Tribolium castaneum: one gene and its partners. The protein of the gene in region 3 interacts with the protein of the main gene of each other region in a biochemical or structural test. Links are inferred from orthologs where the notes say so. Each region holds a gene or a part of one and is shown on either strand. Other genes may lie near its edges.

Region 1 (3,479 bases), about 3.2 Mb from region 3:
AAACCCATCTTCAGACATTTTTCTAAATTTTCAAACGATGACAGTTGACAGATAGCAAAGTCACTTTGATTTATTTTATGCACGGGCGCAACGTTGCATTGCAACCGACCCGAGCAAAGTCCTGAAAGGGAACAATCCCATAATTACCTAATCCCGCAGGACTTTCACAAACGGGAAACGCAAAACTGGGCACAACTCGTGGGGTCACTACCAACTTTGCGACGTGCGCCTGACATACCTGGAATTTTCCGCGGCTTGCGCCACTGTGGGTGCGCCCGAACGGTGGTGGAGCACGGCAGCGGTGGTGTGCGCCCCCCGGGAGACAATCTTGTTTATGTAACTAAAAAATTAACGCAAACATACGTAACGGAGCTAAAATTAGTGTTGGCAATGATTCACAGCTGTCACACGGAACTATCACGTGACCGCAGGGCCGCCAACCCACACATAATATGATATAATTAAATTAAATTAATTAATTGGAAATTGGAAACTCAAGGAAAATTTGTGCCGTTTCGTTACGTTTATTTACAATTTACACACCTATGTTAACATTAGCGCACAGTTCACATTTTGTCAAGATCGTCAAACGGGAAGGCGGGAAGTGACTGTAAACTCCCCAAATCGAAATCAATATTTAATCTCTTGACGTTTTTACCACACGCTGACTCGAACCTCCGCTCTGCCAATTTCTTCTCCAATAGTAGATTTTTTTGCTCGGCTTTATCCTTCCTCACTTCGCTTTTCAAAGCGTCGATTTCCTTCTGTTGCCCCAAAACAACGTTTTTCAATTTACTAGTCAACTCCTTCAACTGTTCAATATCATCGTCGTAGTTTTTGCTCCGTTGGAACTTGCGCTGATCAACCATTGATTTTAGGGATTCTTTCAGAATCGCATTTTCCTCCTTTAATCGCAAAATTTCCTTGTCTTTGTGCGCTAGCAACTGCTTTAAATGCGTGCATTGGTTCTCATTTTTCAGGGAATCCGTCAGATTTACGGTATGTTTCGAATCAAATGAATAAATCTGGAATGGAGTGCTGATTCCTTGGACCACGTTCTCGCCACTTATGTAGCAAAACTGGTACAAGTCGTCCGTTTCACTCGGACTATTTGGCAAGTCGTACCCTAGAAAACATTTAGAAATTTGGCACAACAGGGGAGTCCCCTTACTGCTGAAAACAACTGAGTTCACGTCAGCCACAGACGAGTCCACAGCCCACTCAAACAAAACGTAGTTCCTCAAGGACTTCCACCCCGTCTTAAATATTGCGATTCGATCGCCGTCTTGCACTTTATAGTTGTTAAACGTGTATTTACATTCGATGTCTTCGTTACAAGGGTATCTGTCCAAAGTGTCAACAAACTTCACCTAAAAAGGGGCAAATTTAGGCCCAACGTGCGGTTGGTTCTTAATTACCGTGAGCTGGTCTGCCATCAGTGCTATGCTTGTGTCCATTTTTTGCGAGTTTTAAGCCTCTTTTTTGAATTTTTACAAATGTACACCTACTCCGCCACCATATTTGTTTACATTGACAGGCAAGATGGCCGCTTCGTCCAAAAAACGCGAACTAATTTACTAATTAGTGTCTAATTACGACCAGAACTGGCATTTCGGCCACTTACCTGAATTAATTAAACTTACGTAATAGTTTTATAAAAAAAAATGCAATAATTAATTATAAAAATTGATTACAAGGGAACAAAAACCCTACCCTAAGTTGGCAGCACTTTTTGTTACCGTCTTTCAAGAGCCGGGTTTTTACGCTTTTTATTCCAATAATTGTGTAATAATGAGTGAAAAACAATTGTCCACCGACGAGGCGGAGGTCTACGACCGCCAGATTCGCTTGTGGGGCATCGAGGCGCAGGAAAAGTAGGCAAATTTGGCTTTGGGCCCCGCTAACCTTACTTTCGCAGGTTGAGAGCCGCCAATGTTTTGTTGATTGGGGTCCGCAGTTTGGGCTCCGAAATCGCCAAAAACATCCTGCTTTCGGGGATCAACTCGTTGACCATTCTGGACGACGGAGTTGTCTCGCAGGACGACGTGACTCGTAACTTTTTGTTACACGAAAAAGTGGCCCTCGGGAGCAAAATCGCGGAACAGGTCCTGCCGAGGGCCCAGGCCTTGAATCCGTTGGTGAAAATTGTGGTTGACACGGGTTCAGTTGCGGCGAAAAGTGGGGACTATTTCAAGGAGTTTACGATTGTGGTTGCCACAAAGCTAAAGTTTGAGCTGATTTTGAAAATTGATGGGTTCTGCAGGGAGCACAATGTCAAGTTTATTTACGGCGAAGTGGCCGGGTTTTTTGGGTATTCGGTGTCGGATTTCCAGGATCATGAATATTTCGAGTAATAATTTTTTGCCGATTTATTTAATTTTAATTAAAATTATCTCAGGGATCGGATCCAGCTTGCAACAGGCGCGAAACGGGGCCATGAAGGGGACAAGAAAACGAAACGAATTAAAGGCAAATTGACTTATCCTCCGTTAAATAAAGTACTTGTGTTACCCAACACGAAACAAGACATTGGGAGCATTAAAAAAATGTCAAGACCTAACAAGTTGTTCGTCTGCATGTTAAGTAAGTGACTAGTTATTTGTTTCCTTTATTAATTATTGATTCAGTGTTACTGGAATTTCGTAAGAGGTTCGAGCGTGACCCTGATTTAGAAAATAAATCAGATGAAATTGAAGAACTGAGAGACATCGCTACTGAAATAATAAAATTGTATCAATTCACAAAAGTCAACGTTGATAATTTATTAGATCTGGTATTCGGTGAAGTCAGTCCTGTTTGTGCTATCCTTGGTGGGATAATGTCCCAAGAAGTGATCAAAGCAGCCTCACACAAAGAAGTCACAATCAATAACATTTTTCTTTTTGACCCTGTGACTTACAGCGGGAAGGAACTAACAGTAGGAGCATAATTTTTCAGTATTGTATTTTTTGTAATAAAACACTAATCCTACTTATTTTTTTATTCACCAGAACACATACGTCAAACATTTTTTCCTTAATTAAAATTAAAATTCTCTTCTATGATACTTATCCGGATCGAAATACGACGTCACGACGACTCTATTACTGAACTTACGACCAGTGAGAGTCTGTTGTGCCTTTTGGCAGTCCAGAACCGAATTAAATTCGACAAAAACCTAAAAGAATACATTCAACACTCGGCTTTCGCCTCGTCAAACTTACTTTTCCACATCCCGGAACTTCGACGCCATCTATCGGCCGGGGTATTTCTATGCTCCGAACGACGCCGTATTTATTACACTCTTCTTTGATATCTTCGAGAATATCTTCGTATTCTTCCTCGTCTTTAAGCTCATCGGGAGTGACCATATTCAACAAACATAAAACTTCAGTTGGCGGCCCTGAAGCCCCCACGAGACTGAGACCCGGTACTTGTATCTGTACCGCAGGTATGACGGTTGCGTTTTTAGCCCCCACGCTAGCCCTCTGTACTATCAA
Region 2 (4,181 bases), on a different chromosome or scaffold from region 3:
GGCTTGCGATAAGCGTATTGTTACATTGTATCTCTAGGACTATTAGTCTGAAGTATGGTCCAAATTTATCATCTGGTGATAGTACGACTATGATAATAACTATTCCGTTAGATTGAGGTCGTCAGACGATAGCAATTATTTTTGTACTTTACAATGCCTTAATTTTTCCCTTGAGTAAAAATCATTTTTATAATGTTTACTTTGTATAAGGTAATTGCAGTGTAACATTCCGTAAATATTTGGTTTGTAGTGCTATCCTCTACGGTGATTTGCAATAATGTCTAAGTAAGAATAATTAAAATAGTTGTTTTCCTTTTCGCACTTTGTTCATAAATAAAATCATCACTAAGACCAAGGTCTAGAAATGCTAAATTGCTCGAAGCTCCTTAGTATTTCGTGGAATTGGCTTATCAATCTCTTGTCTAATAGCCGGGATTGCTGTATTATTAACATGATTTGCATGTTGAAAAAACAGAGCTTTGATTTTTGTGTCGCTAAAACGTTACTTTTAGCACGTATTTCTTTAATAATGTGCTGCTTCTTAATTATAGTTTTCGTGGAAGCTGCGTGTCGTATTAAAATAAATGGGATCACACTTTCTCGATTTTAAGAATCAAGAATTATCTTATTTAATGTATATCGCGAATTAATTGAGGAATTGCCAAATGTTAGTCTTCCGTCCGAGTATAATTAGGAATAAAAATTTAAGTTTTGTTTTTATTTTCGTTCTGTTATACGTGAGTTCCAAAGTAAATGAGAAAAACCTTTCATCTTTTAACAATTTTTTTTTCAAAATTTAAATATGTAGTTAAGTTGACACTATCATCTAGAGATCTTTAAGAAATTCAAAAGTACAAAAAGCGTCTTTTTTGCAATAATTTTTGAAGGTTTCACTGTTCGAAACTAAATGAAAAAATTCATATGCTAAGAGAAAAATATAAAGTATTTAATAGGAAACGCTGATTTCTTCCCGACTATTGGTTTTTAAGTTATAGTAAAAGCTACTTTAGCAAAAAAGTAAATAAAAGTAGCTTATTGAAAGGGTTCGTAAACGCTCAGAGATAGAGGGGTTTCGAATACAATCTATTGGTTATTTTCTCTCACATTTGCTATGTTTTATTCATGAATCCCAACTGTTACTTCAATAACGTTATAAGCACAATTGAAGATTCGATAATATGGCTATTTGCATACCCATAGGGAGGAAAATCTAGAGACGAAATGTATGCTTTTTAACGAAAAGCTGTTGATAACAGTTAAAAAAATCAGTAAATATGATTTTCAAGTGCAAAAGATTAGATAAGCCACAAGACAGTACTTAAGCTTACGGTTAAGTTAGTATCACCTCGGCTAAAACATAATGTAGGTTAAATTCGCGTTTTTAGGCACGTGTCAGTTCAATATTTTGGTGTTTTATGAAAAATTTCTCCACTTTTAACGTCACTAATCGACAGTTAACTAAAATGGAGTGTAGTACTTTTCCACAAGACGGTGTCGCGGTTCAACAAACTTCACAAATGAGCCCTTACTTGGGAAATGTGAATTGTGCGACCAGTTATGGATTAAATAATGCAACCCTTGAACCGATTCCAAATCGACATAACAGTCGGATTAGACCTAATGGTCTCCTGGCTCGCATGGCCTTACCGTGCCAGTCGTCCTCCAATTGGGATTATACAGAGTGTTATAGTTATTATGCAGATGGGTGCTATAACACTTGCCAGTTTGTTGAATTTGGTGATATTGAAGACTTCATGTAAGTGGCGCAGCTGGGCAAATATGCCGCGATAACAGCGAGAAATAATTAAAAGCATTGTCTTGAAGGGACGTCACTTTACCGGTTGGAAATAGTTAATTTAATCAATTAGATAAAGGTTATGTAATCGATTTTCGTATGCAGAGGGCAAACTTTTGTAAGAAGAACACTTGAACTTTTATACAAATGTTCACCAATAGTTTAATTATGACAATTAATCAGTCCAATTAATTTTACTATAAATTTTATTGTTGCGGCAGTAAATAGTATAATTAGCCGATTGACATTAGAGGCTAGATTTTATCAATTGATTGTAGTTTAAGTGCCACTATTTTACTATCTCCACGGGTTTTTGTGTAACAATGGCTAGACAGTAACTTAAAAAAAAACGTAAAGAATCGCAAAAACACTTCCTAGGATTTATTAACGGCACCGATATTTTCCTTATTTTGTTTGTCTATTTTTTTAATTCAATTTTAGTTTATTGTTGTCTGGAAGTTTTCATTCAACAGGTGGTCGTTAATGTTTGCGGTTTTTTTAAAGTCGGTTGTAGAGGAAGTGGAATAAAAATAATGTCTACTTTGTCATTGTAAGATTATGCCAATTTTTATGAAAAGTTAGAAAGGAAAATAAATTAATGACTAGGCATATTTTTAATTATATGCATCGCTTTTATTTTTATACATTTTATTAACTTATTTATCACAATTATAAAATCACATGATTAGTTCGTTTTTTGTGGTATTCTTGGATTAAGTCCAGGCACGGGGTCTGTCATGTGTTTTCTCGCGAAACTTTCTTATGAGTAGTTTGGGCGAACACTTAATGATTAAATAATCAAATTTTAGTCGAGTGGTGGTAGGAGCCTGAAGAGTTGTGTGTTTATTTTAGCGAAAATGTTAATACTTGTTTGTTGCTTCGTTTCGCTTAATTTTGTTCTTATTCCAGGAATAATGAGAAACGTAAGGAAAAATCCAGAGATGCGGCGCGATCTCGTCGCTCCAAAGAAACCGAAGTTTTTACCGACTTGGGTAACGCTCTGCCAATTTCACAAGAACAGGTTTCGCAATTGGATAAAGCTTCCGTTATGAGATTGGCCATTGCATATCTGCGGGTGCGGGATATGATCACTTTGGGTAAAACGTTCTTCCCCAGTTTAAAATTCCGCTTATTTAACAAAAATTGCAGTCCCGGAAGCCCCGGAGCCCGACGACCACAAAATTTTAACCGATGAATCAATTTTCTTGAAAGCATTAGAGGGGTTTTTACTGGTGATGTCTTCAGAGGGAGACATTGTTTACATGTCTGAGAATGTCAGCGAGTATCTTGGAATTACACAGGTGGTTTGGAAACGTGAGATTTTGGGCAAGATGTTTGACTTTTTCTTCCAGATTGATCTGATGGGTCAGAATATTTTTGAGTACAGTCATCCGTGCGATCATGACGAAATCAAGGAAATTTTATCAACAAAGACCCGGGAAGAAACAGAGACGCCTAAGTCGTTTTTTATCAGGCTTAAGTGTACTCTTACAAGCAAAGGCCGATCGGTCAATCTCAAATCAGCGACTTACAAGGTACTGAGCTGAAAACTGTGCAGAGAAATTTTGCTAATTTGGTCAATTCAGGTCATCCATTGCACTGGTCACATAGTGCAAACTGAAGATGACGGAAATGAAGAAAATGCGAAAGGAACTTTGCGCCGATGTCTTGTGGCAATAGGACAACCTATTCCGCATCCTTCCAACATCGAAGCCCCATTACCACGTCAAACATTCTTAACAAAACACAGTTTGGATATGAAATTTACGCACGCTGACGATAAAATGTGTGTATTATGTTTACCAAAGTGTTAACGAGGTTTTTACGTAAATTGTTACAGAATGATGGATGTTTTGGGATACGATTCGGAAGATTTGGTCGGGAAATCGGTTTATGACTATCACCATGCCATGGATAGTGACGCGATTTGTTCAGCTTTCAAGTGTTGTAAGTATTTGATAAGAAAAAATTGTGTAATTTACAGCATTTGCACACTTGGTCTGGCAATTCAAAATAATCACTGCTGCGGTTATTAGACATGCACTGCGAATTATTTGTGCAAAGATTGGGCATATTGCAGTTATTTATTTTTAAAGCCGGGAGGAGCAAATATTTGGTGACGATTTATTTAGTTTTTTATACTGTCTTCCCATAATCAGAAATTGAGAGAAATTTTAAGTGTGGAAAACAAGCAGGAATGTTGCCTGAAATGCCCATAAAATTATCTCCCCATTTGGTAAATGTGTTTTCCTGTTTAGTTTGTTTTCAAAATATTTCACAAGTTTACACAATTTCGTATATTACGGTAGGAATCTTCTCTATTAGCAGTGTTGGTATGTTGCGTTAGGTGGCGTTTTTGCACCTAACTGGATTAAACTTTTTGTTT
Region 3 (4,426 bases):
TTTTTATTATACACGGTGTGTTGTATACATAGTTGTGAACCAAAGTTATGTTTTTTTAAATAGGACATCCTATATATTTTTGGATAATTCGATTCAATGTGAAAAATAATGTAAGTGTAAATAAACTATTACACAGGTTGTTCCGTCTAAACCCTACATTAGAAGTATTGGGAGTTCTAATGATAGTTATCTGAAAATTTGTGTACAACCATAACCTTTTAGGTCCTGCTTAATAAAAATATTTTCAAAATGGTAGCACTTCCGGTTATATCAGAAGTCACTATCATGTTCCTCATTTTAAACGGAAAGCTATATTTTTTAATGCGTTTTTGAATTACTAGAGTTATTTTAAGGTTCTTTTCATAAGCTCTCACTAAACCTAAATTTATTCGTTTACAAAATATTACAAAATGTTTTTAATTTTTTTTTGGATTTGCACCTTCCAGTTCAAAAACTGATAACTCTACCACTTTTAAAAGATTTTAAATCTTTTTCAGCTTATTTAAAAGAGGAAGCCTAGAACTTTCCTTTGGCGTTTTCAAATTTCTAAAAAAGAATAACAAATAATTAAGTTATAGGTACCTGAAATTGTCCAAACTTAACCTTAAAATTTTTGGGTTTATTAACTTCATTTTCAATTTTAAACACACCAAAGAACAGATAAAGGCCTTCTTTTTTAATTCTCCTAATATGATTTCCAAATCGCTAAACTAACCGAGTTACCAATTTTTTAAGTGACAGGTGCAAATCCAAAAATTTTCAAAAAATCTTAAATATCCTAAAAACGGTAAATTTTAGGTATAGGGAAAACTCTTAAAATAACTCAACTAATCCAAAAACGCAGTGAAAAACATAGCTTTTCATTTAAAATAAGAAAGTTAACAGCGACTTCCGGTATAACCGGAAATGCTGCCATCTTGAAAATATTTTCATTGGCAGAACTTAACGGATTATGATTGACTACCAACTTTTAAAAAATTTCTTTATTAGAGCTTTCAATACTTCTAAAGTAAGGTTTAGACGGAACAGCCTGTAGTTTACCATAAATAACAATAAGCACTGAAACCTTTAGCCTGTATTTGAAGAAAACGCAATTTAAAGTGCACCCTCAAACCAATGTATCTTTATGGGAAAGCCCCGAATCTTTATTTTTTTCTGTATTTGAACTACTGAATTAATTTCTCTTTAGTGTTCTGAACTCCGAAATCGTCAATTTTGAGCCACCTTGTATTTTACGGTTTATTGAACCTAATTATTAATTTTTTGCAGCCTTGAAACTCATTCAGGAGGATTTTGACCAAGAAAATGCCAAGATCCAGGCAAAAGTTGATTTGCAGCAAGTGACGTCGAACTAATCAAATTCGCGCCAATGTTTTTGCCGCCAAATAATTATTACACAAATCCGGGTTTTTGTATTCGTTAAATTTGTTTAAAATCATACACGAAAAGTTTGAATAAATAAATTGTTCTGGAACAAATAATCGGCGACAGGGTGGCCAACACAAGTCGCGTCTGCGCGAATTCCCCTACCTGTTTTCCCAGTTTTTGTCTGTCAACTGTCAAGAAAGCACCGAAGCCCGTTAAATTTTCCTTTAGAGTTTGAATAAGGCCCCATTAAATACCCCAGTGCCCACTTTTAGAGTACGTTTTGGTCATTTCGTGCGATAATTTTGAGGTAGAGCCTGATTTTTAGTTCTAGGATGTCTGGAATTGCTCCCGCTCGTCTCGCCGAAGAACGCAAAGCTTGGCGCAAAGAACATCCTTTTGTGAGTAATTCCTTACAAAATTGCCCTCATGTAATCCATTTCTCCGCAGGGATTTGTGGCCCGACCGTCGAAAAACCCAGATGGCTCTCTAAATCTAATGAACTGGGAGTGCTCAATTCCTGGTAAAAAAGGGGTAAGTTTGTTGCATTGTTTAGTAATTGTTGGGTTATCGCATTGTTGTGTAGACGCCATGGGAGGGTGGAAATTACAAATTACGCATGTTGTTCAAAGATGAGTACCCAAGCATTCCCCCAAAATGTAAATTTGAACCACCGTTGTTCCATCCAAATGTGTATCCGTCAGGTACGGTGTGTTTGTCGTTGTTAGACGAGGAGAAAGATTGGAGACCGGCGATTACTATTAAGCAGATTTTACTCGGAATTCAGGACTTGTTGAATGAACCCAATGTTAAAGATCCAGCACAAGCAGAGGCCTACACAATCTACTGGTAAGTGGTTTTTTTACGGGGTGTTTACATTTGACGTAGTCAAGAGTGCTGTGGATATTGTGATCACGTGATCAAGGAAATTTCGTATCTAGTAATCCATGAAAATGAAAACTTAGTTTCGTAAAGAAAAGGCACTAAGACAATAAATGGACAAGGTTACACTACGGACATCTAAAGGTTAGGATACGAAATACAAATTAGTACAAATAAAGCGTTATTGTCCTCGATAGTTCCGTTAATGTCACCAGAGGGCGCAGTTGATCCATTAGCATCAAAGCCAGTAGATATACTAAAGTAGCGACACGGACCTTGACAGGGCAACAATAACGATTATATACTCTAGAGAGGGCGCAACTATCGAAATTCGACATATACCGCATTATTTACATAAAATGCGTAGCCTTGAAAAGCCTTAGTAAGTGCGTTTTGTCTCTGTTTCTACGTTTAATCTTCACTAAATGAAATTGCTAAAGGGGATGCTCTAAAGAGATATTCGTTAAAGGTCACATTAGATGATAGATTTAAATCGAGAATGTATTTAAACAGGCAGTTTAGTTTTCCAAGGCTCGACATTTTTTGTAATAACGCTGTAATTTTAAAGGTTCGCCAAATTGTCAGTAATTTTGAACATACGTCAAAACTGTCAAGATTCTCTCACTTTTGAAAAATTGGTAAAGAGCACAGTGATTCTGGCGTTCATCTGTAGTTTTACTGTGGTTATTGGTTATGAACAGATTTCATGGAACTTTCAAACCTGTGCTTAAATCACGTAAATAATAAATCGACACCAAAAACATTAAACAAAAGGGCCTCCAGACTGTTCAAAGTCGTCCACATTACGAAGCACGTCTGTGTGAGAATACTGGAAACTCATTCAAACAAAAATTGTTTCAGAAACATAAAGTGTTAGGTACCAACTTGAAAGAGAAATTTCTAAGATACCAAATTTTCAATAAGTATTTCAGGTAGATTTAAACAATACTTCCTTGAAAATTCTTCTAAATTATTAGATTCTGTCCTAATGGGAAAGAATTTAAGACCGCTCTGCTTACACTGACCTTCGTTTCACAAAATTTAATGCATCTAAATCTGGGAATTGTAGCGCATCGAAGTTTGGTGGACTTTTTATAGCCACTTATTTACAGCAACTATGGTATGCAACATTTAAATAATAAAGAGAAATTCAGGTTGTATTATTTCTATTTCTTAGGTAATATCGAGGTGTAAACCGTACCCCAAATTTTGTACACCTGTAATTTAATCATGATTCCTTCTGATTTTTCCCTAAATTTTTAAAGTGATTTCCTTAAAATTTCTTGATTTACTCAATTTTGTACACTGATTTCCTCTGCGGTTTACCTCTCGGGTAATATTGAAAACATTTTCTATTCTTATTGCGAAAAATGTCTTGGTTTCATAGCAGTTGTTAATAGTGTTGAGGGAAAAAATTAAATTTAATTAAAAAAAAATAAATCGACCAATTTAAAATCTTGGAGTAATTACATACGATAAACTGTAAAAACACTTAGAGAGGAGTTTATTAAAATTAGAAATGTAAGTATCACAATTTTTTTAAATCAAACAACTATTATTTTGAAACGTGTTTTTGGCTTTTTCGTTAAATACAAAGTTCAAATTCTTTTAAGGAATGAATTCACTGTTGAAGCGCCAGCACCTTCTTCGAAATGTCCATAAGAGTTGCTGTATTCTGCGCATTCTAAAAGCCTTTCTCATTGCAATGTTCAGTTGAATTTAGGGACGATCTGATTTACTTTTACGTGAGTGAAGCACAAGTTTGAAGGTTTCATGGTATCTGTACACATAAACTGTAATAACCAGGGTGAAATTAAAGACGATCACCGAATTCATTGTTCTGATTCACCAATTTTTCAAACGTGAAAAAATCTTGACATTTTTGACGTACGTTTTTGAATTTTGATGGTGGAGCCATCTGTAGAGTGTATAATCGTTATTGTTGCCCTGTCAAGGTCCGTGTCGCTACTTTAGTATATCTACTGGCTTTGATTAGCATCAGGTTTTCAGAGCAATGAATTTAAAAAAATTGTTGGTAAATTTTTACTTTAGCTACTTCTGGATTTTTGAAAATTTTTTTTTTGCATTTTGCTTTAAAAAGCCTCTAGATCAAAGATATGACCTTGAAAGTTTGTGCAAATGCCCCGTTTTTGAAAAATTCGACCTTGAATGACCTTGA

The links.
Region 1: of the proteins of lwr (region 3) and Aos1, one has a biochemical effect on the other in vitro, tested with the Homo sapiens proteins (6 studies listed by BioGRID, with this or other methods). The link is inferred for Tribolium castaneum from reciprocal best matches to the Homo sapiens genes UBE2I and SAE1.
Region 2: of the proteins of lwr (region 3) and hypoxia-inducible factor 1-alpha, one has a biochemical effect on the other in vitro, tested with the Homo sapiens proteins (2 studies listed by BioGRID). The link is inferred for Tribolium castaneum from reciprocal best matches to the Homo sapiens genes UBE2I and HIF1A.

Annotation. Positions count from the first base shown.
Region 1 is NC_087399.1:6,089,905-6,093,383, reverse strand, and holds Aos1 (SUMO-activating enzyme subunit 1), read left to right. Parts: upstream 1-1,607; 5' UTR 1,608-1,791; coding exon 1,792-1,874; intron 1,875-1,918; coding exon 1,919-2,350; intron 2,351-2,398; coding exon 2,399-2,583; intron 2,584-2,627; coding exon 2,628-2,929; 3' UTR 2,930-2,970; downstream 2,971-3,479. Other genes in the region: uncharacterized protein LOC663257, read right to left, coding at 1-18; calcium-binding and coiled-coil domain-containing protein 2, read right to left, coding at 567-1,126, 1,172-1,370, 1,419-1,457; U2af50 (splicing factor U2AF 50 kDa subunit), read right to left, coding at 3,026-3,157, 3,204-3,479. UniProt on the Homo sapiens protein: The heterodimer acts as an E1 ligase for SUMO1, SUMO2, SUMO3, and probably SUMO4. It mediates ATP-dependent activation of SUMO proteins followed by formation of a thioester bond between a SUMO protein and a conserved active site cysteine residue on UBA2/SAE2.
Region 2 is NC_087396.1:19,217,431-19,221,611, reverse strand, and holds the start of hypoxia-inducible factor 1-alpha, read left to right. Parts: upstream 1-1,372; 5' UTR 1,373-1,415; coding exon 1,416-1,756; intron 1,757-2,704; coding exon 2,705-2,892; intron 2,893-2,944; coding exon 2,945-3,096; intron 3,097-3,147; coding exon 3,148-3,330; intron 3,331-3,381; coding exon 3,382-3,581; intron 3,582-3,635; coding exon 3,636-3,742; intron 3,743-4,181.
Region 3 is NC_087399.1:9,253,925-9,258,350, reverse strand, and holds the start of lwr (SUMO-conjugating enzyme UBC9-B), read left to right. Parts: upstream 1-1,493; 5' UTR 1,494-1,641; intron 1,642-1,693; 5' UTR 1,694-1,700; coding exon 1,701-1,766; intron 1,767-1,815; coding exon 1,816-1,899; intron 1,900-1,951; coding exon 1,952-2,214; intron 2,215-4,426. Other genes in the region: transmembrane inner ear expressed protein, read left to right, coding at 1,270-1,355. UniProt on the Homo sapiens protein: Accepts the ubiquitin-like proteins SUMO1, SUMO2, SUMO3, SUMO4 and SUMO1P1/SUMO5 from the UBLE1A-UBLE1B E1 complex and catalyzes their covalent attachment to other proteins with the help of an E3 ligase such as RANBP2, CBX4 and ZNF451.